Linked DNA regions of Coturnix japonica. The protein of the gene in region 7 binds, or shares a complex with, the protein of the main gene of each other region. Links are inferred from orthologs where the notes say so. Each region holds a gene or a part of one and is shown on either strand. Other genes may lie near its edges.

Region 1 (3,500 bases), on a different chromosome or scaffold from region 7:
TGAGGTGGTTGAACTTTTCTCCTCTTGCCAGAACAGCTCTAAAGAAAAGACAATCAAAACAGACTTAACATTACACTGACTGGGGATGTTACTGCAGGCAATTCTGAAATCTGCAGTCTGTAACAATGTTGACAAGTGTCTTAAAAGTACAGAAAGAACACTAGCTGCCATTTCAAAGATTATAGAAATCTTTTTATATTAAGTGTACTTTAGATCATGAAAAATATCATTGGAGAGCAGTTAGAAGCTGTCAAAGCTTCTCTGTACTTGGCAGCTAACACGTTCACCAGCAATTTAACTGGAGCTTCCTTCAGTAAAAACAAAGATCAATATCCTGCTCTTGAAATTCTCAATATTTTTGTTTAAGATTTTCCTGTATCCACACAAATATTTATGCAAATCTCTGAGAGGGAAAAAAAAAAGGCAATTAGTCCACAATACTAATCTTGCCACCATCACTTTCTTTCCTCCCATATCCACATAGACATAGATCCTAAAGTACTTTCAAAAGAAATTACAGCATATGAAAGTCCATGTTTTTAAATTCCAACTCCCTACAACTTGAAGGAATGGCCTCAAAGAACAAGAACTTTATTGGCCTCCAGCATAGAGAAAAAACAAAACAAAGAATTGTATTATGGAGGTCGATCTTTAAATCTTGTTTCCTCTTTGGTGGGTTGCCAGAGAAAAGATACTGTTGATCATATTGTAATTTGTAAGAAATATTTTGACTAATTATTGCATAGGGAAAGAAGGCAGAACAAAATATTAGGTGAGAAATTTCTGCAGTTTTTACTGTAGTATAAACCAGTGTTCTTATTGCCCAAATCTCCACAGGTAAATAAAGGATCCAGTCTATTATTTATAAAGAGACAGAATTTTGCCTGTAGACCAGCAGTAAACAAACCAAAGTCATTTAATTACCTGAAACAGACAACTTCTGAATGGTTGCTCTGACCCTCAGAAATCATACCATGTACAGAAAACCAAAGAACTGCAGCTGATTTCTAAGCCGTTAATGACTTGTATGAAGATCAAATCTGCAGTTAATTTCCATGTCATTATATACACTTCATATTTTAGGGATTAAAAAAAAAAAAAAAAGTGTGCTGTTTATAAGAAATCTCTCAAGAATTAGTTAAGCTCAGGTATCTGCATTGTTTTTTCCCCCCCAGCAAGTACTATTTTCTTTCAAATGACAAGTTAGGTAGAACTATGAACTTGCATAGATGGCCCATACATGAAATGTAACTGTTACACCAAGCCAGAGTTGTCTATCAATAGCAGCTACACTGTAACCTATTCCATCTTTATACATCAAACAACAATTACTTAAGTATCCATTAGTTGAGAAAAAATTCTTACTACGGATTGAAAGTATTCAGGAGACAGTCCTTCCAGCTCAAGAATTTTATCTTCAAGCTTCTTAATTCTCTGATAAATGTCTCTTGGTACAGGACCACCTAAGTGCAGCAGTACAGAGAAAAATCAGGAAAATCACTTAAATAACACTTTAAACTAAAAGATGGCAAGTTTTTCATTCTTTGAGTCCAGCTAGCAACCAGCGCCTGACAGTGAACAAACTGGTGGGAAAATGAAAGGGAAGGGCAATTAATATAAATCACAGTAAAATCTGGTTGATAAGCCACTACGATCTGCCAAGGCAATAGACAACTTCAAAGTTGAGTATATGACTGAAAAAGGCCCTGGAGCAAAAAAAAAAGTCACTCTTAAAACACAGACACCCATGCAAAGTACCTAATGTATGCTAGGTAGGATTCTACAACATCACAACCACTGGGTATTCCAACCAGAATGACTGCCTTGTCCTGACCAGGATGTGTATTTATCAACTCCACATCCTAATCTGGGAATAAATCTGTATTTCATTTCGGGCATATGGTCCAAAATATTAAGACTACAGTACTTGGGTGATAAAACTCTTTAATGCATCTAGCCTACTGTTTTTACTGTCACAGAACTTACTGGCTTGCCCAATTTTACTACAGGAATGTAGCACAAATTGACACATCTATGTCAAAACTTAAGTGTGGTACGAACCTGTTTGTAATCGTAAGTGCGCCTCAATGTTCTGCAGTCTCTCCTCAACAGCTTGGTTTCCACAATCATGAACAGGTACACTGGCTTTATGATTGGACCCATGTGTTCCTTCAGATCTAGTCTGTGGCCCATATGTATTTACTACCCTAGAAACTAAGTAAAGAGAACATAAATTTAACACACATGCACATGAAACATATCAATATATGTATAATTAAAACAAAATGTCATTAAATAATTAGTATTACTAAAACCTGAAAAGCTGTGTGTTAAATCTATTTCACTGATCTTGTATTTGAAGGGTCTCACAAACACCGAGATCAAAAGTTCAGTGTAAAAGTCCTTATTTTTAAATACATCAAACTAAATAAAAAACAAGGACTCTACATTTGCAAAGAAAGAGGAAAAAAAACACCACATTCATGTCATCAGCTGCAGATAAACAGCAGTTATAATCACAGAGAATCCTGTGAGCAAGCAACCTTTCAGGCATGCTATCTGCTGTACAGTAACTTCTTCATCAGTCACACCTTTGCAAAAAATAGTGCAGTGGTAACTTTGTTCATCAGATTCCTAAGTCTGTCTTGGAACTTCCAGTGTGCCCCTGGATTATTTTCCTAATTCAACATAACTACATTGAGATTAATTTAAAATAGAAGATAATTTTATTTAATTGATTTCTTAGCTGGACTGACGGCCTTACCTTAGCAGAAAAGCTAAGAAATGCTCAGCTTCTCTGACCTGCTTTATGTTTTTCATCTTTGCTTTCAGGCAATGACAACAGGCTACTCATCAAAGGATTTGGTATTCAGTGCATAACCAATAGCCTACTGACGAAATTATGGGATAAAAAAAGACTTGAAGAGGTAAGGGAAGACTTAAAGTATTTGTTAGAGTCATAAATCAATTTGTTAAGTATCCACTTATAAGAATGCTGGAAAAAAAAAATCTAAGCCAAAATTTATCAGTACTGCTCTAACTTAACATTCTTAATAAATGGATATGAAAAGAGTTGCTTACCCTTTATATGGCTTTTAAATCCAGGATAGGGTGTGAAAATAGCATCTGTTCTGGCACAGCTATTTTCTAAATAAATAGTAATAATAATAAGAAAAAAAAATAATAATAATAAAAAAAGAAGAGTGAGGCCCCTAATTATGTATTTACAATTTAAAATATTCTAACCATCATCAGTTTCAAAACCAATCTAATCTAATTAGAATTTTTCATACAACAAAAGCATCAGAAATCATTCACACTATAAAAACATGCTCGTACATAATTTTACTCACTTGCATGTACCTATCAGTTTTACCTGGCTAAGTCACCTCCACAAATATGGACACACATATACATGAGGGTACTGGATCAGGATCAAATTTCTTCTATTTCTTTTTTAATTTTTAGATTTCATTGTGTTGTTCTGTCATTTCTTTCTT
Region 2 (4,252 bases), on a different chromosome or scaffold from region 7:
CAGCCTGAACATTCCCTGTGTGGGGTTCTGGGCCCTGAAATGATTAATGCCAGGCTCACACAGAGGCACTTGGCTCCCAGCTGGGCGAGCTGTGCCCTTCCATGGTGCCAAAGGCGCCGTGCCTTGGCTCACACTCACTCTACATCTGGCCCAACCCTGTTCTTGGCACCTGCCAGCCTTGGCCGTGCTACAAGCACTTAAGCACATCTTAATAACAGTAAACATACAAACGTGAGCAAAACTATTATACTAAATTGAAATGCTATCATTTTCACTAATTTTACCTTTCACTTTAATCACGTTTGTTCAGCAGACAGATGAAGAAGATTACAACAAGGAAGGACTGGCTTTATGCATTCAGTTTTCCTGTTCTACACAGGGGATGTGCCCTGGCCACCTCCTCACAGCGAAGGTCCATCACCAAAGCTGACTATGGCGCAGCACCTCCACGCTCTACTTGGAAATAGATTAACCTGTTTTAGGGGAGTATCCAACCTGAACTTCCCCTGGTGCAACTTGAGGCCATTCCCTCTCATCCCATTGCTATTAGCTGCGATAAGAAGCCAACCCCCACCTCAGCACAGCCTCCATCCAGGCAGGTGTAGGCAGCAATAACATCACCCCTGAGTCTCCTCCAGAATGAACAATCCCAGTTCTCTCTGTAAGCCTTGTGCTTCAGACCCCTCACAGCTTTATTGCCCTTCTCTGGGCACACTCCAGGGCCTCAGTATCTTTCCTGTAGTGAGAGGCCCAGCACTGACCACAAAGCCTCACCAGAGCTGAGTACAGGGGCTCGAACACCGCCCTGCTCCCACTGCTATACCATTACACGGCTCCATTGCCGTTCTCGTCCTTCCTCTGCTCAGGGCTGCGGCTGCTCGACGCGCTCAGCGCTCTGCAGGGCGGGCCGCTCTTCCCCCTCACAGCCTGTCCCGCCTTTCCCCGCGTTGTGCCGTTGGTTGCGGCTCGGTCGGTTCCCGGCCGTGCGGTGTGTGGTGCCCGGCGATGTCCAGGAGCTCCCGGGCGGTGCTGGTTGTCACCGCGCTCCTCTCCGCCGCCACCATCGCGGCCGTGCACGTCCAGCAGCGGCGGGAGCGTGAGGTGAGTGAGGGCGGGCGGGCAGGCCCGGAGCCGTGTGGTGCCCTCTGGTCTGTTGGCTTATTATTAGCGCTGTCAGATGCAAGGTACAGCTTGGGAGTGAAGGGCTTAATGTAAACAGGTCTTCAGCTGGCCTCACAGAGGTGGTTTACTAGCTTTATTAATCAAACAGGCAGTGATGAACCCTGTCCCTTGTGCTTCCAGAGGCTGCACAGCGGTGTGCTCAGAGATCTGGAGAGACAGAGTCAGAAAAGGGAAAACATTCGCCTGCTGGAAGAGCAGATCGCTTTGACGAAGCGGCTTACGGAAGAAAGAGACAAGATGCTGGTGGAAAAGGGATCCCAGCAGCCCTAGGTGGGACCTGACTTGTTAGAGGTTTGATTCGAGGCACTTGGGACAATTGAATTCTAATTACTTTCAAGTATTTCAGTAAACAGACATCACCTGTGAAAGACTGTTTATTTCAGACACATTATATTCCTGTACCAGAAGCCATAGGGCACAGCAGAATATTTCTTCCATCACTAGTACTTGTGGAGACTTGACACAGCCAGTGTGGATGGACGTGTGAATGTAGGGAGGACAGGCTCCTTGTGCTGCTGTAGGCCATGAAGGATGGCTAATAACGTCCACATGAGCGGGCTGCTGAGCCGACACGATGATGAAGCCACGAGGACTTCGACGTCGGAGGGTCTGGAGGAGGGTGAGGTGGAAGGGGAAACCCTTCTGATTGTAGAGTCTGAGGACCAGGCCTCGGTGGATTTATCCCACGACCAGAGCGGAGACTCACTGAACAGCGATGAAGGTGATGTGTCCTGGATGGAGGAGATGTCCTACTACTGCGAGAAGTGCCAGAAGTGGATTCCAGCAAGTAAGAGGGCTGGCTTTGCTGTTTCTTGTTTTCTGATAATGTGAGTTTAGTTGAGCTTTTGCAGAAGCGTGTCCAACCTGTAGCATCTGGCACTGGGGGGTGCTTGGAGTAAGCTAGATAACTTGATTCCTTTGCTGTTGCTGCTTGACATAAGATGTATGGTGCTAGCTAAAAAACAGGCTTTACTTTTGAAATTCTGGACAGCTGGAATTTGGAATGGACACATTATTAGATCCAAAACCTAAGTGTTGCTAAGCACTGCTTTTTGTTGTTGTTTTGTTATCGATTTGCTGTTGTGTTTTTATTTCTGTGTTTAGAATCATGGAACTCTTCAGTTGACATCTGCTTTGCAGCTGCATCGGGGCTGCCCTTATTGCCATCCTAAAACTCGCCACAAGTTTAGTGTAGAAATGTTGCAAGGCATGGTGTGAGCATTGCTAATAATACAGTAGAGCCAGCACAGTACTGTTAAAATGATGCTACATTGCAGCTTTCCTTCACGTGAAAGGGCTGAAAGTTTGATCTTTTGTCTGTTGGTTTTAGGTCAACTGAGAGAACAGCTCAGCTACCTCAAAGGAGATAACTTTTTCAGATTTACTTGCTCTGATTGCTCAGAAGATGGGAAAGAACAATTTGAACGGCTGAGATTAACTTGGCAACAAGTAAGTACCTTGTTTGTGCCAGGAAAACGTGCCAGCACTTTATAGAATTGTTGTTTGTTATGTATTCATTACCTAGAAAAGGAGGATTGGATATAGATGACAAACATGAGTGAACTTCAGAAATTAATTAGTTGAGAATTGCCTGCAGATTAGAGCTTGAGTATTTGGCAAGTAAGTGGCAAGATAATCACACAAACCACATTCCTCTCCTTTTTCGCTCCTCATTCATGTTGCTCATGAATTGCATGGCTTCAGGCGAATGTGGAAAAGCAAAATGCAATGTAGCTTCTAGGCACGAACAGTTTTTTGTATATAGGAGTGAATGCAAAGCTAGCGAGGTGGCAGCACGCAAACAGAAAGCTTGCCAGTTCCCTGAATGCAAAGCTCTAACTTGGCTGCTTGCTTACTAACAGTAGTTGTTGCTGGATTCTGCAAGTCCAGTCACTTACACGCCTGCGCGATCAAAATATTCTGCATTATACGGCAGCCACTGCGTGGGTAGAGTGATGCGTGTGTTGCTCCCAGGAGGGTGCAGGTGCTGCTCCTTTGGGGTACGTTGAATTGAGGGAAGTGAGCAAACCTGTCTGAAGTATGGAATTGATTCTGCATAATTAACAGTTGGTCATCTGGGATTTACTCACAAAGAGATGTGGTTCTTTCCAAACCTTTCCAATAGTTGGTTGGACTGAATTAGGCTGTAAAGCATGTAGAAGTGCTGTAATGGATTTTTTCAATGAAGGTCAATTCTGAGAGCATCATTTGCAGGCCAGTAACGAGTGGTGTCCCCCAGGGGTCTGTCTTGGGGCTGGTGCTCTTCAACATCTTTATCAGGCAGGGTGCTTGGAACTTGGAGATCCTTGGGGTCCCTCGCAGCCCAAGCCATTCTGTGATTTGGAGACAAACGTAATTGCCGCATACCAAGAAATATTAGTAGATGACATGTGATTTCTACATAGTTTAACCTGCGTTCAGTTTGGTACGCAACGGTAACTATCTGGGAAGACTCTGATTGCTATGTTTCTGATGAATAAGGTGGTGGGATTGCTCATCACAATTCTTTTTGTCTTTGAAAAAGACTATTTAGACTTCCACGCTGCATTCAGGTCCCAGTTGCGATATGATCAGTTTTTCCCACTCTGCAGAAGTTTGTGTTTCTTCATAAACCTGCATAATTAGGCAGCTTTTATTCTCCTACGGTGGTCAAATCTTGGTGGGGGGAAAAGACAGAAGAATTTTCATTTAACGATAGAGAGATGAGGAAAGACAGCATGAAAGAGAAAGAGAGATGAGGAAAGACAGCATGAAAGAGAAAGATTGCAGAAATTGCTTAAGAGGTGTTGCAAAAATAAGATATTTATGAGGCTGCAAAGGTGTGTGTGTGCATGGCATCATAAGGCAGCTCACCAGGAGAAGCAGAAAAGGTGCACTGGTTTCCATTGCTTTCTGTTCCAGGTTGTCATGCTGGCAATGTACAATTTGTCTCTGGAAGGAACTGGCCGTCAGGGGTACTTCAGATGGAAAGAAGATATCTGTGCTTTTATTGAGAAACACTGGACTTTCTTATTAGGAAACAGGTAAAGATATGCTGTGTCCTGGTGAGATGAATGAATTAAAACTGGTG
Region 3 (4,236 bases), on a different chromosome or scaffold from region 7:
GGAGCATCCCCGGAGCCTTACGTTCTTGAGGAATTCCTCTGCCACAATGCGGGCCCTGGCATTGACAGACAGCTTCATCTCGCTGATCTCCTTGTCGATCTCCTCCATGAAATGGATCACGAAATCCACGAGCTTGTGCTTGTACATCTGCTCCGTGTGGAAGTTGGTGATGAGGAAGCTGATGTCGTAGCCCTGAGGAAGAGAGGAGCAGTGTAAGAGCTATGGGTGTGCAGCACAGTGGGAGTGCAGCACAGTGATGGTGCAGTCCAGATCTGCGCTGTGGGTCCCTGGGACTCCCTCACCTCTACGGGCTTCCTGCGTAGGATGAAGAAGTTCTCAGCCCTCATCATCATGAAGCGCATGAACTTATGGCACAGGATCTTCTCGATCTCATCGGCCTGCAGACACAAAAGGGAAACGAGGTTCCTCACACTCTCACAAGCTCCCAGCCCCCATCCAGCCCATCCCCACCTGTTTGACAGCGATGCTGACGCGCACGGAGTTGATGGAGCCCTCGATCAGCACCTTCTCCTTCTCGTTCCTGCTGATGATCACGGGCTGCAGCAGCAGCTCCTTGCTGCTCCTGGGGGAGCAAAGGAAGGTCAGCATGGAACCGCTCGGTGCCTGCAGGCACAGTGCGGGCAGTGTCCGTGTGTCCGTGTGTCTATCCCCATTGACACACAGTGCGGGCAGTGTCCGTGTCCATCCCCATTGACACACATTACAGCCCCGTACCTGACCTCCACCTCGGGCTTGTTGTGCCGTTCCACCACCTGCGACGAGAAGTTCTCGAGGCACAGCGCGGCCTGCAGCGTGGCGCGCACCGCGTTCAGGTACGGGCGGAGCGTGGCGGTCTGAGGGGCACGGCACAGTCACGGACCGGGACCGGGCCCACCCCAGCCCCGTCCCCCCCTATCCCCGTACCCACATCCACCCCCATCCCCCGCCCCGTTCTCCCGCCCCGTTCCCTCCCGCTCCCACCATGGTGTCGGCTCCGGTCCGGTCCGTGGAAGCGGAACCGGAAGTGGCCGGCTGTCTCTTCCTGGATGCTCGGGAGGGCCCAACCCGCAGCTGTGTGGGGGCGCTCTGTTCTCTCTCCGTTCCCGTTCCGTTCCCCGTTCCGTCCCGTCCCCCCACACCGTGTATATGTATATATGTGTATATATGTGTATCTGTGTGTATATCCGGCCGGTCACGGGGCGCGGCTGCAGCGCCTGGAGGCGGCGGCGAAACCCCGCGAGATTCGACCCCCCCCGCGATCCCGCCGCTCTTGGTACGCTCCGTACGGCGCTTCCATATTAGGAAAGGAAGAAGGAGAGACGAGCGAACCAATCGGCTGCGTGCACCGGGCGGGGCCGAGCCAATGGGGAGAGAGGGGCGGGGCGAAGCGGCGGGGGCCGGAAGTAGCCGAGCGGCCCAATGTAAACCCGGCCCCCCCCGGCCCTGCCCCCTGCCCGCCCCCCGCCGGGACCCGCCGAGCTCCGGGCGGCACCGAGAGACCGGACAACAGGCTTCTATCGCCGCCCGGTTCCGACCCGGTGCCGCCATGAGCGAGCTGAAGGACTGCCCGCTGCAGTTCCACGACTTCAAGTCTGTGGACCACGTGAAGGTGTGCCCGCGGTACACGGCCGTGCTGGCCCGGTCCGAGGACGATGGTATCGGGATCGAGGAGCTGGACACGCTGCAGCTCGAGCTGGAGACGCTGCTGTCCTCAGCCAGCCGCAGACTGCGGGTACTGGAGGCAGAGACACAGGTGTGGGATGTGGAACATGGAACGTGTAACGTGTAACGTGTCCGTGTTGTGACCCCCCACCCCATCACCGCCCCACACACGACCCTACACGTTATTCCTCTATTCCAGATCCTGACGGACTGGCAGGACAAAAAGGGCGACCGGCGCTTCCTGAAGCTGAGCAAGGAACACGACGTGGGCACCTCCGTCAAACACGGCAAGCCCAAGAAGCAGAAGCTGGAGGGTAAAGGGGGGCACGGGACGGGGCCTGGGCCCGGCAGGCCTAAGTCTAAAAACCTGCAGCCCAAGATCCAGGAGTACGAGTTCCAGGATGACCCCATCGATGTGCCGAGGATCCCTAAAAACGATGCTCCGAACAGGTGAATGGGGAGATGGGGGTGTTGGGGTTGGATGTTTCCTTCCTTGTAGTGCAGGAGATCACGAGCTGCTCTCAAAGTGTCCATCACAGCTCCCCATCACCATCATTCCTCTGCTCTGGCCTCGCAGGTTCTGGGCATCAGTGGAGCCGTACTGCGCCGATCTCACCAATGAGGAGGTCAGGGTCCTGGAGGAGCTGCTCAAACCGCCAGAGGACGAGGCTGAGCACTACAAGGTGACAAGCTGCAGAGCCCCCAGCCCATGCTCTCTCACCCCATACTCTGCCCTGCACTGTCCATCCCTGGGCAGGCTAAGAACTCACACCCCACTGTGAACATTGTGCGTGTCCTCTGGGGTGGTGCTGACCCACGGGCTCCTCAGCACAACCCCAGCCCTGTGCTGATGGCCCATCCTGTGCTGCAGATCCCACCGCTGGGGAAGCACTACTCACAGCGCTGGGCTCAGGAGGACCTGCTGGAGGAGCAGAAGGATGGAGCCCGGGCAGCGGCTGCGGCTGACAAAAAGAAGGGTGTTCTGGGACCACTGACCGAGCTGGACACCAAAGGTGCTGTCCCATCCCCTATCTGTGATGGACTGCACTGAAGCTGTGTGGTGAGACCAGGGGGCTGGCATCCAGCTCCCACAGAACCGGGGCTGCTCACAACTGTCTCCTGCATCCCCTCAGATGTCGACGCCTTGCTGAAGAAGTCAGAGGCCCAGCACGAGCAGCCTGAGGATGGATGTCCCTTTGGACCCCTGACACAGCGTCTCCTGCAGGCCCTGGTGGAGGTGAGGGAGCTCAGGTCTGTGCAGTGGCCCTGCGAGGTGCTGCCAGGGCGAGGTGAACCTTTCCCATGTGCTCTGCTTGCCAGGAAAACATCATCTCCCCTGTGGAAGACTCGCCCATCCCCGACATCGCTGGCAAGGACTCAGGAGCCGATGGCGCTGGCACTTCTCCACGCAGCCAGAACAAGCCCTTCAGGTGAGCTGCTGCAGTGCTGCCTGCTGCTTTCCCTGTGCAAATCGGGGCAGAACGCTTAGGAAGCATCCGCTTTACTCTTCACAGCGTGCCCCACACCAAGTCGCTGGAGGGGCGGATCAAGGAGGAGCTGGTGGCTCAGGGCCTGCTGGAGTCTGAGGACCGTCCCGCCGAGGACTCGGAGGATGAGGTCCTGGCTGAGCTGCGCAAGAGGCAGGCGGAGCTGAAGGCGCTCAGCGCCCACAACCGCGCCAAGAAGCACGAGCTGCTGCGGTGAGTGCGGGCAGGGCATGGGGCCGGCTGAGCACCAGCAGCATCCACTGATGTTCTGTGTCCCCAGGTTGGCCAAGGAGGAGCTGCACCGGCAGGAGCTGCGGCAGCGCGTCCGCATGGCCGACAACGAGGTGATGGACGCCTTCCGTAAGATCATGGCGGCCAGGCAGAAGAAGCGCACCCCCACCAAGAAGGAGAAGGACCAGGCGTGGAAGACGCTGAAGGAGCGTGAGAGCATCCTCAAGCTGCTGGATGGGTAGCGGGGGGACAGGACTGGGCTGCACAACGCTGCCATCATCCCTTTATTTCACGGACTGGAGGCGCTGTGAGCACAGGAGCTTCCCGGCTGTACCTGTGCTCTGCCTGGATCGCTGCGGGTCGGGACGGGGTGCACGGGGCTGGGTCCTGCTCCTGGCCCAACCCGCAGCCACCGAACCGCAGGGACTGGGCGAGAGCATCCCTGGAGCAGCCATAGCCGCCCTCTGGTTTCCGCTGCCGCGGTTATTCTGGGCAATGGAGCTGTGCCAGGACACGGCTGGGAGCCGGGCCGGGCCTCGTTAGCGCCGGGAACAGCCGGGGACAGCGGCGGGGAGCGGGACGGGGCTGTACCGTGTGTTGTGCGGTGAGGGCAATAAAGGAGCATTGGCACTGCCGGTGTGCCGTGCGGTGCTGGGGGCTGCGGGGTTGTGCTGGTGTCGGTACCGTCCCATGTCTCCATTCCCGCCCCTCGCTCTGTCCCCGTCATTCTCTGCCCCTCCGCGGCCCGCGGTCACGCGTGGGCACTGACCGCCCGCTGCCCCCATTGGCTGAGCGGGGGGCAGGTCCCGCCCCCCCGCCGTGACGTCATTGCTGCCCGGCGGCGCCGCGCCAGGAG
Region 4 (3,500 bases), on a different chromosome or scaffold from region 7:
AAGATGACAGGCATCTCAGTTTCTGTTTTCTTGCCTGTTTCCATTGTGGAGATTGTGAAATTGTGTGCCGACCACAATGGGCTGTGTATGGAGGGTTGCATTTTTCATGTGTAAATACATGCTCGCATTGCCCTTTTTACTGCCTTATTTGTCTGTTGGAGCAGGTATGCAAACCCTGTGTTTGCCTGCCAATATGTCAACACACAAAATTAATGCACTCTGCAGATTCTAATTTGAGGCCATGGTTTTCCCAGGGAGTCTGTTCCCATGAATGAGTTGAAATTAAATCTCTGGATTTCCACCAAGGCAATCTTTATCCTTAGTTGGGATTAATCCATTGCTCATATATCAGAGAAAAATCAAGTTGCCCTGTGATGTGAATGTATTTAATCTTTTGTGGGTACTCTGAAATCCTGGCTGTGTTTAATAGCTTTTTGCTCTTTACTTGGGGTTGGCCTCTTGCCAGTCCAATTCTGTTTCAGAATAAAGAACCTTATATGCAAGTAGACTTATAGAAATTACCCTGAAATACCTAGAAATGAAGGCAGCGTACCAGTTAGAACTCGTGTGGTTGAGTGGCACATCATCCAGTACTTCTTTGTTGCAGGTTGTTGGTGTTCCAGTTGGTTCTGCTTTGCAGTCAACAGTGAAGCAGGCAGTGGCTATCAGCGGTGGCCAGATACTTGTGGCAAAGTCTGGTTCTTCAGTGGCAAAGGCTGTTGGTCCAAAACAGGTTGTGACTCAAGGTGTAGCCAAAGCCATCGTGAGTGGAGGTGGAGGAACAATTGTAGCTCAGCCTGTGCAGACTATAACAAAGGCGCAAGTTACTTCCACGGGTGCTCAGAAAAGTACATCACAAGGATCAGGTAGAGTAATTTTACACCTTGTTAATGGCTCACTGTGGTTCTGTAATGATTCCTTCACCTCTAAAACAATTATGTGATGGAAAAACCTAATCCAGCAGCTGGCTTGAGTTGTGCATGTTAGCTCAGACTCTGGACTGTTTGAAATGTGCTTTGTGGCCTGTAAACTTAAGCCTGCAGATTCCACCACTGTATTTCTTTGGCCTGTGACCATGCAGGGGTTTCATTTATTCTTTTTTTTCCCAGACCTATTCAAAGTGTCTGTGCATCACTGGTGGATTTTATCTGCTGTTAGAATAGCTAAACATTGAAGGTTAGATATGTGGAACTTCCAGTGCTTTCATTCTGTGCAGATTTCAATGCGTGCTGGCCTCTTCAAGGAGTAATTTTGTTTTATTCCTTCTTTCTAGTGATGGCTACACTGCAGTTACCAGCCACCAACTTGGCAAACTTGGCTAACTTACCACCGGGCACCAAACTGTACCTCACCACCAACAGCAAGAATCCTTCCGGCAAAGGAAAACTTCTTCTCATACCCCAGGGAGCCATTCTGCGAGCCACAAATAATGCTAGTTAGTCTTGCAGGGAAATCTAATGAGTTAAATAATGTAATCACTGCATAATTAATGTTTGCTGTTCTTGCTATACTGCATCCTGGTACTGTGAAAGTCAGTAACAGAAGGAAGTTTCTTTGTTCACAGAAACACAGTATGTGGAGATTTATAAGTCTGGGTTGTCAGAAGTACCTTCTGTTTTAGATGGTATTGCTTTGCATGTGGAACTCCCAGTATCTTTCTGTGCTGAAGGTAGTGCAGTTTTTCTCAGAGCTCACAGTGAAGCCTTTCTCTCTATTTTGGTATACAGGGAGAGACACCTGCATTCTTATAATGCAGAACTGTTGCTGATTTCAAAGCTATTAGTAAGTAACAGAATGAGACTCTGGGAAACTAGCTCTGAGAGGGACAAGATAACTATACCTGGAATAGGAGAAAGAAATAGATTTCAGTAAAAGGTTTGATTTCAAGCTGTTGACACCAGCAGAAATAATTTGTTTAGATGTAACAATATAATAGATAGAATAGAGTTTTGAATAAAACTTGCTTTCACAAGTTTCATGCTTGCAGGTATTGTGAAATACCTGGAGAACAGCATTGCTAAAATTGTCCTGAGGGCTGATACTTCTTTTTTTATAGTGTGCTGTTGCTATAGGAAATGTTTTGTGAGCCTTCTCTGGAACGCTTCTCTTTGAGGCTGAGGTAGATGGACTGGGTGCAAAGTATTTGCTTGCAAGTTCTGATGCTGGCAGTGGGGGAGAGATAATCAGTTTATTGTGTAAGAAGGTGAACACCAGCAGTATAGCAGCAGAGTGTCACTGAATACTTGGATACTGTTGATGATGGTATTCCGGGCTGTAGAACTTGTGATGGGAGATTAAGATTTAGATGGCAGTCCAATCTTGACAAGTAAATGCTCTCTTGAGGCTTGAGGAAGAGTAAATAGTTGTGATTTATGACAGAGCCATCAGTAGTTTTCAACCTTTGTTTCCTAGTGGGAGACTACAACATGTTTGTGTCCATTCTCTTCCTTCTGGAGGCAGAGCAGTATCAAGATGTTGATGTTATTCACCACCAGTTAGAGTCTGTGATCAAATACTCTGTGTTAACAAAACTGCATTGGAACAGCAAGCAAAAGTAAAATTAACAAGCCCGTGGGATTTGTTGTGTTTCCAGGGCTTTTGCCTGCTGACAAAACACTGTCTATCTGTTGTACAGCATTTTCTTTGATAGAAACTTTACAGCAGCCCTTAATGAGCTTTGTATGTCCAGTAGTCTTCATTCTCCCCATGTCTCTCTTTGTTCATTGCATTTGCTGAGCTTTCAGAGAGCACAGCAACACATCTGAACTGTGTTTTGCTGTGCAATTACGGCTTTTATGCCTGTGAGTACTCAGCTATATAACATGCCTCAGCAAGCATCTTGCAGGCTGTTCTCAGGTACTTGTATGTACAGGACTACTTCAGCAGCTGACATTGTCGGGTTGCAGAAGAGCCAAACCTTCTGTTCTGGTTGCAGGTCTCCAATCTGGTGGTTCTACAAATAGTGGAGGAGGAGGAGGAACCCAAAGTACAAGCAGTAACTTGTCCCAGCACCTCACCTATACATCCTACATCCTGAAGCAGACACCCCAGGTCAGTGGCACAAGCACCCTATCTGGAATGGATGGGCATTTCAGGCTGCTCTCTAGCAAGCAGTGCTGTTTTCTCTGTCAGGCACTTGCTACTGCTACGTGTGCATCTCTGCCCCTCACCTCCCCTTACAGAGTGGTACATGGTTCAGCTACTTGCAGACTGAGAAAGTAGCATGGAATGATTTTTCATGGCAAGCAGTGAGTGGTTTTCAGAGAGTAATAAAGAGCCTGTGGTGGCAGGGGAGCAGGGGTCTCCAAAATAAGAGAGATGATATGACAAAGATAATGTGGAAGACCTGTCTTAAATGGTAGGTTGTGTAGGAGTTGTAGGAAAGCTGTGAAGACAGAAGAATAAAGGAGTTATTTGAGAGAAACAGCAAGGGTGAAAAAGAAGTGACAAAATTGAAGATCACGTGAAGGGATCCATGCATGACAGTGGGTGAATGAAGG
Region 5 (3,107 bases), on a different chromosome or scaffold from region 7:
ATCTGCTTCCGCATGTTCCCCTCCCAGGGCTTCACCGAGATCGTTTTCTGCGCCGTGACATCCAACGAGCAAGTGAAGGTGAGGCCGTGACCCCCCTGGGGGGTCCTTACAAGCTGCCTTGGGGGTGTGAGGGCCCTGTCTCATGGCAGCCCCCCCAGGGCTACGGGACACACCTGATGAACCATTTGAAGGAGTACCACATCAAACACAACATTCTCAACTTTCTCACGTACGCAGATGAATATGCTATTGGCTACTTCAAGAAGCAGGTGGGTTCCTTTCCCTGCTGCTCCCCCCACCAGCCCAACCCGACCCTCTGTCCCTGAGCTCCCTCCCACCTCTCATCCCCTCCCAGGGCTTCTCCAAGGACATCAAGGTCCCCAAAAGCCGCTACCTGGGCTACATCAAGGACTATGAGGGGGCAACCTTGATGGAGTGCGAGCTGAACCCCCGCATCCCCTATACCGAGCTCTCCCACATCATCAAGAAGCAGAAGGAGGTACCTCTGACCCCCCTAGAAGGGAGGGGATGGGGAGTGCCAGCCTTTGGGAACCATCCCTCACTCAGCCGTGCAGCCATGCACACAGGATCACTGCAATGCCATCTGAGGGTGGGGAGGGCTGCTCCTGGCTGTTGCTCCGGGTCTGTCAGGGCCTCATGTCCTGCAGTGCATGCTGATGTGCCACTCTCTCATTGCAGATCATCAAGAAGCTGATTGAGAGGAAGCAAGCACAGATCCGCAAGGTCTACCCTGGCCTGACCTGCTTCAAGGAGGGCGTGCGGCAGATCCCCATTGAGAGTGTCCCCGGCATCCGTGAGCTCTCTGTGCTGCCTGGGGGTTGGGGGTGACCCCTCGGTGAGGTGCAGTGCCCTACATGTGTGGGGGCAGAGCCCTCTGGTGATGCTGACCATTTCCTTCCAGGAGAAACGGGTTGGAAACCACTGGGGAAGGAGAAGGGGTGAGTGAAGGGTCCCAGGGTGCACTGGAGCTGTGGGCTCCTGCTCTGTGCCACGCCTGGCCCTGCAGAGGTAGCCTTGTATTGGGGTGCTCGATCCTCGTGCTGATGGGCTCTGCTCTGCCCTGCAGGAAGGAGCTGAAGGACCCGGACCAGCTCTACAACACCCTGAAGAACCTCCTGGCCCAGATCAAGGTGCAGGGCGGGCGTACGCTCCTGTGCCATCCCCCATGCTGTCCCTGGGAGGGGAGGCACAGGGCAGGGGATGATGCAGTAAATCTGCTCCTCTCCCACAGACCCATCCCAGTGCGTGGCCCTTCATGGAGCCAGTGAAGAAGTCAGAGGCACCGGACTACTACGAAATCATCCGCTTCCCTATTGGTGGGTACCTGGGGGTTGATGGGGGTTGCAGCGTGCCCTGCTGCAGTGCTGGGCAGAGGGTGTCCCAGGGGGCAGCCAGGCAGCAGAACGGGACCCATCAGGGTCCCCCCTGGCTGTGGCTGGTGGTGGGAGGGGGCACAGTTGTGTGATGGGACCCAACTCCTTCCCACCCCCAGACCTGAAGACCATGACTGAGCGCCTGAAGAACCGCTACTACGTCACCAAGAAGCTGTTCATCGCCGACCTGCAGCGCATCATCACCAACTGCCGCGAGTACAACCCGCCCGACAGCGACTACTGCAAGTGTGCCAACACCCTGGAGAAGTTCTTCTACTTCAAGCTGAAGGAAGGGGGGCTCATTGACAAGTAGGGGGTGGTCTGGATGTGCCATGGCTGCCACGACCCCCCCTGCTCCCGCTGGCAGGGAGGGGCAGGGCTGCTGCTGTTCCCGGAGGGGCCATCCAGGGATGTGGCCCTGTTCTGTGGGCAGGGGCTGCTGCTGGGTTTGCTGCTGCTGGGGGGGTGGGGGCTGGGCAGCTGCGGTGCTGCCAGTCCCTCTCTTGGGGGTTGTGGAAGTGGGGACTGGAGCAGGGCTGCCTCTCCCCCCAGGGTTGTGCCTTCTGCCCCCGCTCGGTGCCAGGGCAGGGGCACACAAGTGCTTTGGTGTTCTGCACGGACCTCAGCCCCTGCTCCCATCCATGCACAGGCAGCGCCTGCCCCTCTTCTTGAATGTACTGTGGGGCACCTCCCTGCCCCCCCAGGCTGCAGGGCAGAGGTGCTGAGTTGGGGGGTTCCCCTCTTCCTGCTGCCTCTGTCAGCTCTTCCCTCCTGCAGGAGCACAGCCGCCTGCTCTCCCCCCACTGCTTGTAGCCCTGCAAGGAGTGGTGGGGGCTCTTCCAACTCCTTGCTGTGGGTGGGGGCCTAACCCCCCTTTCCCTTGCTGTCTTGCAGCCCCGGGGTTGGGGCTGGCTGTTGTGTGCATCCCTCCTTGTGCCCGTGTGTCCCTGTACCTCCCTGGGAGCTGTGCTGGGGTGCGTCCCACGTAGCATTAATGTGTCCCCCTCCCCTGTCCCGCATTTGATCGCCTGCTGCCTTACCCCCTGTGCTGTCCTTGCTGTGTGAACTCTGGTGCTGCTCTGCAGGCTCACCGGCCTTGCTGGGGTGGGAGCAGACCGTCCCACTGTTCGCGTCCGCCCATTCCATGTGACTGTTTTGTTTGGATTAGTTTTCTTTATTTTTTTTATTTTTTAATTAAATGTACTTGTGCAGAGCCGGCTGTCCCTGCGCCTGACCCTGCAGCGGGACCTTGGGGGTTGGGGGCAGTGGGTCAGAGGACGGGCGGTGGTTGGGGTGCACGGGTCCGATATGGGGCGCGTGTCCGCCCTCGGAGCGCGATGACGCCGCGGATCTCCGCCCGCTTTCGGTTTCAATTCAGGTCCGAGGCTCCCGGCGGGGGGTGGCCCGGGGGTTGCGGTTCGGTGCGGCTCTGACGGGGCTTTTCCAGCGCAGCTCGGCACTGCGGGCGGCCCCGCTTTCCTCTCCATCCATCCCTCCCTCCCTCCTGTGCTCCGTTTCCCAGCCGGGACGCGGCGATGGAGCTCCGCGGGTACCAGATCGAGGCGGTGGCCCCGGCCCTGCGCGGCCGCAACAGCATCGTGTGGCTGCCCACGGGCGCCGGCAAAACACGCGCGGCCGTGCACGTCTGCAGGCGGCACCTGGAGGGGCGGCGGGGCGGCCGGGTGGCCGTGCTGGTCAACAAGGTGCCCGGGG
Region 6 (2,774 bases), on a different chromosome or scaffold from region 7:
CTCCTGCTGTTGTTTGCTCAGGTCCCAGCTGGTGTTATTAGCATTGGACCCAAAAATCTGCCATCGCGGTGTGACTGCTGCTCACCTGACCTCAGGCTGCGGTGTGGGCTGTGCCATGGTGCTGTGTGTGCCCCGTGTGGGCAGAGGTTTGTTAACCCTTCATCCTGCAGTACGGGAGTGTTGTGCTGGAGCCTGGAAATGAGAGCAGGAACGAGGAGGTGCTGAGCGTGGTGCAGGCTGGCAGCCTGCTCCCTTCCCTGCTTGCGAGGTGCCCTGCAAGAGGAGAAAAACCTGTTGTTTTTCTGCTTTGATGCTGTGAGGGAAACTTCCCTGCCCCGTTTCCCGTTGCCTCACCTCTCCTACTTTCCCTGGAAATGAACGCTGCTTTCTGGCTCCCTGTTATCCAGAGGGATGCAGCTCCTCCCCTCTTATGGCAGCACAGAGCTGGATGGAGCAGAGGCAGCTCTGTCTTGGAGCCCAGGAATACCCAGTGAAGATCATTTCAGATCCAATTGATTTTATTACAGACCAAAATACCACACATTCAGTGGCACCTCAGTACCCAGGATAATTACATTTCTGGGGGGGGGGGGAAGCAAAAATCTGAAGCCAAACATGTTAAATATACATGAACATAGTTACAGCTTGGGCTTTGCAGCGTGAGAACCCAGACCTGAGGACACACAGAGTGAAGCAGAGATAGCGGGGCCTCCCATCCAGGAGGGCTGAGAGCACGTGGCCTGGTGTGTGCAGTGCTGCACTGCTCTCCTCTCTTTGGTGGGAGGGAATGATGGGGAATGGAGTGGCTGCTTGTTGATGTTCTGGAAGGCAGCTGGGGCTGTAACACACAGCCTTTCATCACGAAAGGTGGCATGGCCTTCCTACGGAGCCACAGCAGCCAATTCAGACTTCAGCTAAAGGATTCTACATAATGTGACCATGGCAAATGAAGTGGCAGCAGATGAGGCTCACTGGTTCGTACAGCACTCTCATGCTGTGATATGTGCCAATATCACATAAAAGTAACAACTGTGGAGGAGCTTCCCCACGATGTCCTTTTGCATCCTTTATCATAATTTACTTAAAAGGACTGGACTATTGCGAGCTCCTTCTTTGCACCCTCGGGCATGTGCTGTCTCCTTTGAAAGCTGGCACTGTTTTAGGAAGGCGTACGAGGAGGGAGGGCACTGCATTTCTGTACCTGCGCTCAGGCTGAGTCAGTGTGACTCTCATGTGCTGCCCTCCTGTCCTTGTTCTCTGCACTGCCAGAATAAAAGTGCTGCGATTCTTTTACACACGAGATGTGGGAAAGGAACAGCCATTCATCTTACAGGTTGGCTTCGATGACACAGGATTCTTTGCAGTGCTACGTGGTGTGATTCAGACAACAGCACAATTAAGCAGCATAGTCAAAAAGAGACCAGACAAAGAAATGTCGGCGTTCGTACCATCTGACAAAGCCTCCTGCTTGTTTGTACCAAAAAAAAAGAGGCCCAAAAGATCTGAAACAATAGAAAATGTCCTTCATTGAACACTGTTAAAATCTCCCAGTGCTGTCAAAATGTCTTCAGAGCTTTTCCATGCCCGTGTGCTCGAAGCAGAGCGCCGTGTCACTCCTCAGGCCTTTGTGATGTACCCTTCCCTGATAAGGAAGTCATAGATTTTCCTTGTTTTGTTCACATCGATCTTGATGAGCGCTCTCGCCTGCGCAAGTCGCAGCCCTCCTTGTTTGTTGCACTCGTTCACTAAGGCAGCTTTGTATTCTAAATAGGCTCCGGGGACCAACCTCACCATCTGACAGAGCTGGAAGACAAAGGGGAAGTTAATAAGCGCTACCACTTGTCCTGCTCTCTCGTTCAGTGATCACTGCTGGGGAACTAACGTTGTGGATGCCTTCCTGAGAACAGCTGTGCTGTGTTTTGTGGTGGGGGGGCAGGCAGCGACGGCAGTGCGGGCCTGGAGCCGCAGGTGGGCAGGGAGGAGCCCATGGCTGCTATATTTGAAAACATTAAAACTGAGAAACAAAGCAGGGGATGAAGGCGAGCTGCGGGCTCACAGGAGCGTGGCTCTGAACGTGTCCATGTGGGCGTTGTTCTCTACCAACCCAGGGATGTTCACATGCCAAAGAGACGCGCAAGCAGCAATTCAGCCGTGGCGGGCATCCGCCTGTTAATCCCCAGCACACAAAGTCCTTAATGCCATTCTACAAAAGCAGCTACGCACACATTCACCCCTCCTGGAAATCTAGGGTGGAAACCGTGCAGGGAAGCTGTGTGCTGGGTTTGGATGCTGGGCAGTGCTGGGCAGTGCCGTGGAGCTGCTGCCAGCAGCGCCTGCAGTGCTCCCATCCACTGCCAACAGCAGCTGCTCCACAGCACTGCATCCAGAGGACACGTGGGCTGTCTCCTCCTTTTAATTAGGAAATGCTTAACGATTGTTTGGTAAGAAATGGCAGAATTCAGAAGAACTTCGTTCCCACTGAGAAGGAAACAGGTGCCCATACACACAACAGTGCAGAATGCAGCCGTGGTGGCACGTTCTGCAGTGAACCTCTGAGCTGGCTTTCAGTGTTGCCATCCCCAGAGTTCAGGAAGCCATCTCCAGTCAAAAAAGTCTGAAATAGATCCACGTTTCACTGACACCAGAGTGTGCCCTGTGCACCAGCACAGCTGGCTGAGGGCTGAGGTTTGGCTCTGAGCTGCACAGTGTTAGAGGAACCGCACTGCTCAGGTTCAGCGAGGTGTCCAGGCAGCCCACAATGAAATCCTCTGCCA
Region 7 (4,038 bases):
GATCTGCTTTTCAAAGATGCTACTCAGTCCCTTGTTCCTGCAACTCACATGAGCTATCGGGAAATCCTTGGAGAACCTTTCTTTCAGCTGGCAGAGTCAGTGTTTAATTGTACACCTGCAGGTAAAGTCAAATTCTTCATTCTGAATTAGAGAAAAATGCAAAGCAGAGGGAAGTTTTGTGTGCACAGGCACGGCCCTCTGGTTTATGCCAACTTCAGAGGTAATTTCTACATAACCTTGTTAGTGGAGTGTAATATCTGGAGTGTTGAGAACTCTTGCAGCTCCTATCTGTAAGCACTGCAAATGGGGGTCTGTGGGGATGATACAACCAATGCAGGTCAGAGCAAATATAAAGTTATTGAAGTGGAATTGTCTTCCACTCAGAAACTTGTTCTTCCTATCCCAGAGGTCTGGGTATGTCAGGGTTAGGGGAAATAACTCTGTTTCTGATAGAAGACTGCACTAAAAACTACACCAGAGTTAAAGATCTCATTGTACTTAAATGAGAGTTTGTTCACTACTATATACTGAAAGCTATTTTGTATTTAGTTCTGACTAAAACTAAATGAAACTGCTTATCAGTCAGGGCTGAGCTTGTTAGGGGCCCTGGGGATCTGTGCTGAAGTAGCTGCAGCTTGCACAATGGATTAGGAAGTTTAATAGCTGTTAGAGGACTGAAAGTCAACAAGGGAATACCAGCACTGTTGTGTTGTAGTGAACAGCAGCAACTTTCAGGGCCGATCACATCTTTAAGGCCATGTTCTCCTATTGGTTTGCAGGCATCTTGGACTTCTGCAGACAGGACACCTGTGCTCATTGATCTGACAGCTGCTTTGCAAGGCAAGAGCCGCCACCAATGTGAGAACAAGGAAATCAGTCTAGTCCTGCCTGTCTGCAAGGAAACCGTCACCCCCGGCCATGTATGCTGATTATCTTTTATCATAACCTTTGTTTTCTGCAGCAAGTAGATGTTGTTTATGGTCATGTAATACTGCTCCCGTGTCGTGCCGTTCCCGTTTGCAGCAGGGGTCGATCTGTACCATCCCTTCATTGGGGTCGATCTGTACCATCCCTTCATTGGGGTCGATCTGACCCATCCCTTCATTGGGGCGCAGCGCTGCCGTGACCGGCTCCGTTCAGCGCCGAACTCGTTTCTTACGTCGGTGCTGCCTCCGTGTGGCCAAAGCGCGGAACTGCACCGGGACGCATGCGCAGTGCGATGTGCGGGCTGACGCACAGTGCTCTGTGTCGCCTGACGCATGCGCAGAGCGCCCCGCGGCCCGTCGGTGCGGCCATGGCGCTGGTGTCGGCCGACTCGCGGATCGCGGAGCTGCTGTCCGAGCTGCAGCGGCTGCTGGGGCACACGCAGGTGCGGGGCTGGACGCACAGAGCGAGCGGGGCGCTGCTCTGCCGCACCGACACCATCGGGCCGCTCTGGGGGCGGTGCGGGGCTGTAGGGTGCTGGTTCGGGGCGGCGCTTTGTCGCACGGGTCCGGATTTGGGCTGTGGGGCTGGAGGTGGGGTGGTGGTGCGGGCAGCCCCCGTCATCCCGCTGCATTGCAGGAGGAGCGGTCCCGCAGCGAGCACAACCTCATCAACATCCAGAAGACGCACGAGAGGATGCAGACCGAGAATAAGAGTGAGAGCGGGGCCGGGCCGAGGGGCGGCGTGAAGGGGGATGAGGGGGCAGGGCTGGGAGGAGAGCAGGGCAATGGGGAGGGGAAGGGGTTCAGAGAGGAGTGTTGGGCAGGGGCAGCTTTGGGGCCGGGCTCGGGAACGGGGCGGGGTTTGGGGACAGCGTGTTCGATGGGGACTTGGTTTCACAGCGTTCTTACCTCCCCCCTCCAGTCTCGCCGTATTACCGCACGAAGCTGCGCGGGCTGTACACCACCGCCAAGGCAGATGCTGAGGCCGAGTGCAAGTAGGGCGGCCCCTTCATACCCACATCCCCATACCCTACACCCTTACCAACCCTACACCCTTACCAACCCTACACCCTTACCAACCCTACACCCTTACCAACCTTACACCCTTACCAACCTTACACCCCACCAACCCTACAGCCCACCAACCCTACACCCCCACCAACCCTGCACCCCACCAACCCTACACCCTGCCCCGTGCCCCCCATACATGACAGCTGCCCTTATGGCTCTGCAGCATCCTGCGCAAGGCGCTGGACAAGATCGCTGAGATCAAGTCTCTGCTGGAAGAGCGCCGCATTGGTACGTGCCTCCATTGAGCCCCCAAGTGTCCCTGACCCCCACGTGTCCCTGACCTCTCTTTTTCTATTTTTACACCCCAAATCCCTGGAATTACGCCCAAATCTCCCTCTGTATGCCCCCCCCCACAACTGCCCTCCCAATCTTGGTGTCACTGTGTCCACCCCCCCACTGTGTCACAGCTGCCAAGATCGCAGGGATCTACAGTGACGCGGAGCCGCCGCGCAAGACGATGCGTCGTGGCGTGCTGATGACACTGCTGCAGCAGTCAGCCATGACGCTGCCGCTCTGGATCGGCAAGCCAGGTGACAAGTAGGTATTCCCGACCCCACAAGTGCACTCTTCCCCACAGGGTGCCCTAAACTCCCAGACCCACACTCCATCATACCCCACATTGTGCCCTGAGCTCCCAGTTCCACTGGAGTTCTGGTTCTGGACTCAGATTCCAAAGCACGGCCCTAACCCCATGCCTGACATTTGGATCCATAGCAAATCTCAGCCCCACCCTGGGAAACCCAACCCCATCCAGACCCCATCCTGACCGTGCCCTCACCCTTCCTCCCCTCTCCCCCCATCAAACCCCAGGCCCTGTTCCCTGACCCCTGTTGTGGATTGCCAACACCCCCCTGACTGCACTGCAGAACCCCAAACCCCAGCCCAGCCTCACCCTCTAACTCCCACCCACCAACCCACCCCCACCTCATTCTCAGGCCCCCCCCACTGTGCGGTGCCATGCCGGCAGCTGGGGACTACGTGGCCAAGCCTGGGGACAAAGTGGCGGCACGTGTCAAGGCCGTGGACGGCGATGAGCAGTGGATCCTGGCGGAGGTGGTCAGCTACAGCCATGCTGCCAACAAGTGCGTGGAGGGGGCAAGGGGGCGGCAGGTTGGGTGTGGAGGGGAGCAGGAATATGTGTGTGTTGGGGGGGGTTTGAGTGGGGCCGGGGGGGCAGTTTGGGCACTTTGGGGGTGTGGGGCATGGTGTGGAGCACTGCACTTGTTGCTTGTGGGGCCGTGGTGTGCTCTGGGATCGCAGCATTTCCCCTTGTTTTGCTGTAGTTCAGTCCTTTCTCCTTTCTCGCTTCTCCCCACCCCAGGTATGAAGTGGACGACATCGATGAGGAGGGCAAAGAGTGAGCACCCCCACTCCACAACTGCCCTCTCTAACCCCACAGCTGCCCCCGCTCTCAGGCAGCCCCCAGCCTCCTCTCCAAGCCCTCCCAATCCCTCCAACTCCCTCCTTATCACCCCCTAACTCTTCCTAACTCCCTCCAAACCTCCTCAAACCCCACAGAACACCCCAACTCCCCACAGCCCCCCTCCCCATGTCCCCCACGCTCCCAGTTCTCCACAGAACTCTTCTTGCTCTCACCAAATCTTCCCAGATCCCCTCGGCGCACCCCCCCAGACCCCTCTAGCTCCTCCCGAACTCCCTCCCCATACCCGCCACACCACAAAGCCCTTCTCAACCCCTGCCCCCAAACCTGCTCTCCACACCCCTCATCTCCCCCATCCCCAGCCCGTACCCATTGCTTGCTCCTCCCTTCTGCAGGAGACACACGCTCAGCCGGCGCCGTGTGATCCCTCTGCCACAGTGGAAGGCCAACCCTGAGACCGACCCCGAAGCGCTGTTCCAGCGCGAGCAGCTGGTGCTGGCACTTTACCCACAGACCACCTGCTTCTACCGTGCCCTCATCCATGCACCCCCGCAGCGGGTACGGCCACATTTTGCCCTGGAGATGGGCCCTGCCGTGCCCCCAGCTCTCACTCATTACTGATGCTGTTTTCTGCCCCGCACACAGCCGCAGGATGACTAC

The links.
Region 1: SGF29 (region 7) and MBIP share a complex: the UniProt entries of both Homo sapiens proteins name them as parts of the ADA2A-containing complex. The link is inferred for Coturnix japonica from reciprocal best matches to the Homo sapiens genes SGF29 and MBIP.
Region 2: SGF29 (region 7) and KAT14 share a complex: the UniProt entries of both Homo sapiens proteins name them as parts of the ADA2A-containing complex. The link is inferred for Coturnix japonica from reciprocal best matches to the Homo sapiens genes SGF29 and KAT14.
Region 3: SGF29 (region 7) and TADA3 share a complex: the UniProt entries of both Homo sapiens proteins name them as parts of the ADA2A-containing complex. The link is inferred for Coturnix japonica from reciprocal best matches to the Homo sapiens genes SGF29 and TADA3.
Region 4: SGF29 (region 7) and YEATS2 share a complex: the UniProt entries of both Homo sapiens proteins name them as parts of the ADA2A-containing complex. The link is inferred for Coturnix japonica from reciprocal best matches to the Homo sapiens genes SGF29 and YEATS2.
Region 5: SGF29 (region 7) and KAT2A share a complex: the UniProt entries of both Homo sapiens proteins name them as parts of the ADA2A-containing complex. The link is inferred for Coturnix japonica from reciprocal best matches to the Homo sapiens genes SGF29 and KAT2A.
Region 6: SGF29 (region 7) and TADA2A share a complex: the UniProt entries of both Homo sapiens proteins name them as parts of the ADA2A-containing complex. The link is inferred for Coturnix japonica from reciprocal best matches to the Homo sapiens genes SGF29 and TADA2A.

The regions. Positions count from the first base shown.
Region 1 is NC_029520.1:33,096,286-33,099,785, forward strand, and holds part of MBIP (MAP3K12-binding inhibitory protein 1), read right to left. Parts: intron 3,148-3,500; coding exon 3,082-3,147; intron 2,215-3,081; coding exon 2,062-2,214; intron 1,464-2,061; coding exon 1,366-1,463; intron 39-1,365; coding exon 1-38. UniProt on the Homo sapiens protein: Inhibits the MAP3K12 activity to induce the activation of the JNK/SAPK pathway. Component of the ATAC complex, a complex with histone acetyltransferase activity on histones H3 and H4.
Region 2 is NC_029518.1:13,436,109-13,440,360, reverse strand, and holds the start of KAT14 (cysteine-rich protein 2-binding protein), read left to right. Parts: upstream 1-1,452; 5' UTR 1,453-1,713; coding exon 1,714-1,969; intron 1,970-2,512; coding exon 2,513-2,631; intron 2,632-4,083; coding exon 4,084-4,205; intron 4,206-4,252. Other genes in the region: protein PET117 homolog, mitochondrial, read left to right, coding at 1,006-1,101, 1,303-1,452. UniProt on the Homo sapiens protein: Component of the ATAC complex, a complex with histone acetyltransferase activity on histones H3 and H4. May function as a scaffold for the ATAC complex to promote ATAC complex stability. Has also weak histone acetyltransferase activity toward histone H4.
Region 3 is NC_029527.1:9,002,121-9,006,356, reverse strand, and holds TADA3 (transcriptional adapter 3), read left to right. Parts: upstream 1-1,436; 5' UTR 1,437-1,546; coding exon 1,547-1,753; intron 1,754-1,861; coding exon 1,862-2,112; intron 2,113-2,239; coding exon 2,240-2,345; intron 2,346-2,533; coding exon 2,534-2,675; intron 2,676-2,795; coding exon 2,796-2,899; intron 2,900-2,982; coding exon 2,983-3,092; intron 3,093-3,176; coding exon 3,177-3,362; intron 3,363-3,429; coding exon 3,430-3,622; 3' UTR 3,623-4,041; downstream 4,042-4,236. Other genes in the region: ARPC4 (actin-related protein 2/3 complex subunit 4), read right to left, coding at 22-192, 303-398, 472-583, 736-854, 982-984. UniProt on the Homo sapiens protein: Functions as a component of the PCAF complex. The PCAF complex is capable of efficiently acetylating histones in a nucleosomal context. The PCAF complex could be considered as the human version of the yeast SAGA complex.
Region 4 is NC_029524.1:683,461-686,960, reverse strand, and holds part of YEATS2 (YEATS domain-containing protein 2), read left to right. Parts: intron 1-607; coding exon 608-866; intron 867-1,273; coding exon 1,274-1,435; intron 1,436-2,935; coding exon 2,936-3,051; intron 3,052-3,500. UniProt on the Homo sapiens protein: Chromatin reader component of the ATAC complex, a complex with histone acetyltransferase activity on histones H3 and H4. YEATS2 specifically recognizes and binds histone H3 crotonylated at 'Lys-27' (H3K27cr).
Region 5 is NC_029542.1:4,442,098-4,445,204, reverse strand, and holds the end of KAT2A (histone acetyltransferase KAT2A), read left to right. Parts: coding exon 1-78; intron 79-158; coding exon 159-269; intron 270-355; coding exon 356-499; intron 500-699; coding exon 700-814; intron 815-922; coding exon 923-959; intron 960-1,087; coding exon 1,088-1,151; intron 1,152-1,252; coding exon 1,253-1,337; intron 1,338-1,513; coding exon 1,514-1,707; 3' UTR 1,708-2,607; downstream 2,608-3,107. Other genes in the region: probable ATP-dependent RNA helicase DHX58, read left to right, coding at 2,930-3,097. UniProt on the Homo sapiens protein: Protein lysine acyltransferase that can act as a acetyltransferase, glutaryltransferase, succinyltransferase or malonyltransferase, depending on the context.
Region 6 is NC_029534.1:7,318,326-7,321,099, reverse strand, and holds the end of TADA2A (transcriptional adapter 2-alpha), read right to left. Parts: intron 1,804-2,774; coding exon 1,618-1,803; 3' UTR 501-1,617; downstream 1-500. UniProt on the Homo sapiens protein: Component of the ATAC complex, a complex with histone acetyltransferase activity on histones H3 and H4. Required for the function of some acidic activation domains, which activate transcription from a distant site. Binds double-stranded DNA.
Region 7 is NC_029530.1:7,882,920-7,886,957, reverse strand, and holds the start of SGF29 (SAGA-associated factor 29), read left to right. Parts: upstream 1-1,238; 5' UTR 1,239-1,294; coding exon 1,295-1,369; intron 1,370-1,563; coding exon 1,564-1,639; intron 1,640-1,848; coding exon 1,849-1,921; intron 1,922-2,160; coding exon 2,161-2,225; intron 2,226-2,404; coding exon 2,405-2,534; intron 2,535-2,932; coding exon 2,933-3,079; intron 3,080-3,318; coding exon 3,319-3,354; intron 3,355-3,773; coding exon 3,774-3,936; intron 3,937-4,023; coding exon 4,024-4,038. Other genes in the region: melanotransferrin-like, read left to right, coding at 1-121, 780-820. UniProt on the Homo sapiens protein: Chromatin reader component of some histone acetyltransferase (HAT) SAGA-type complexes like the TFTC-HAT, ATAC or STAGA complexes.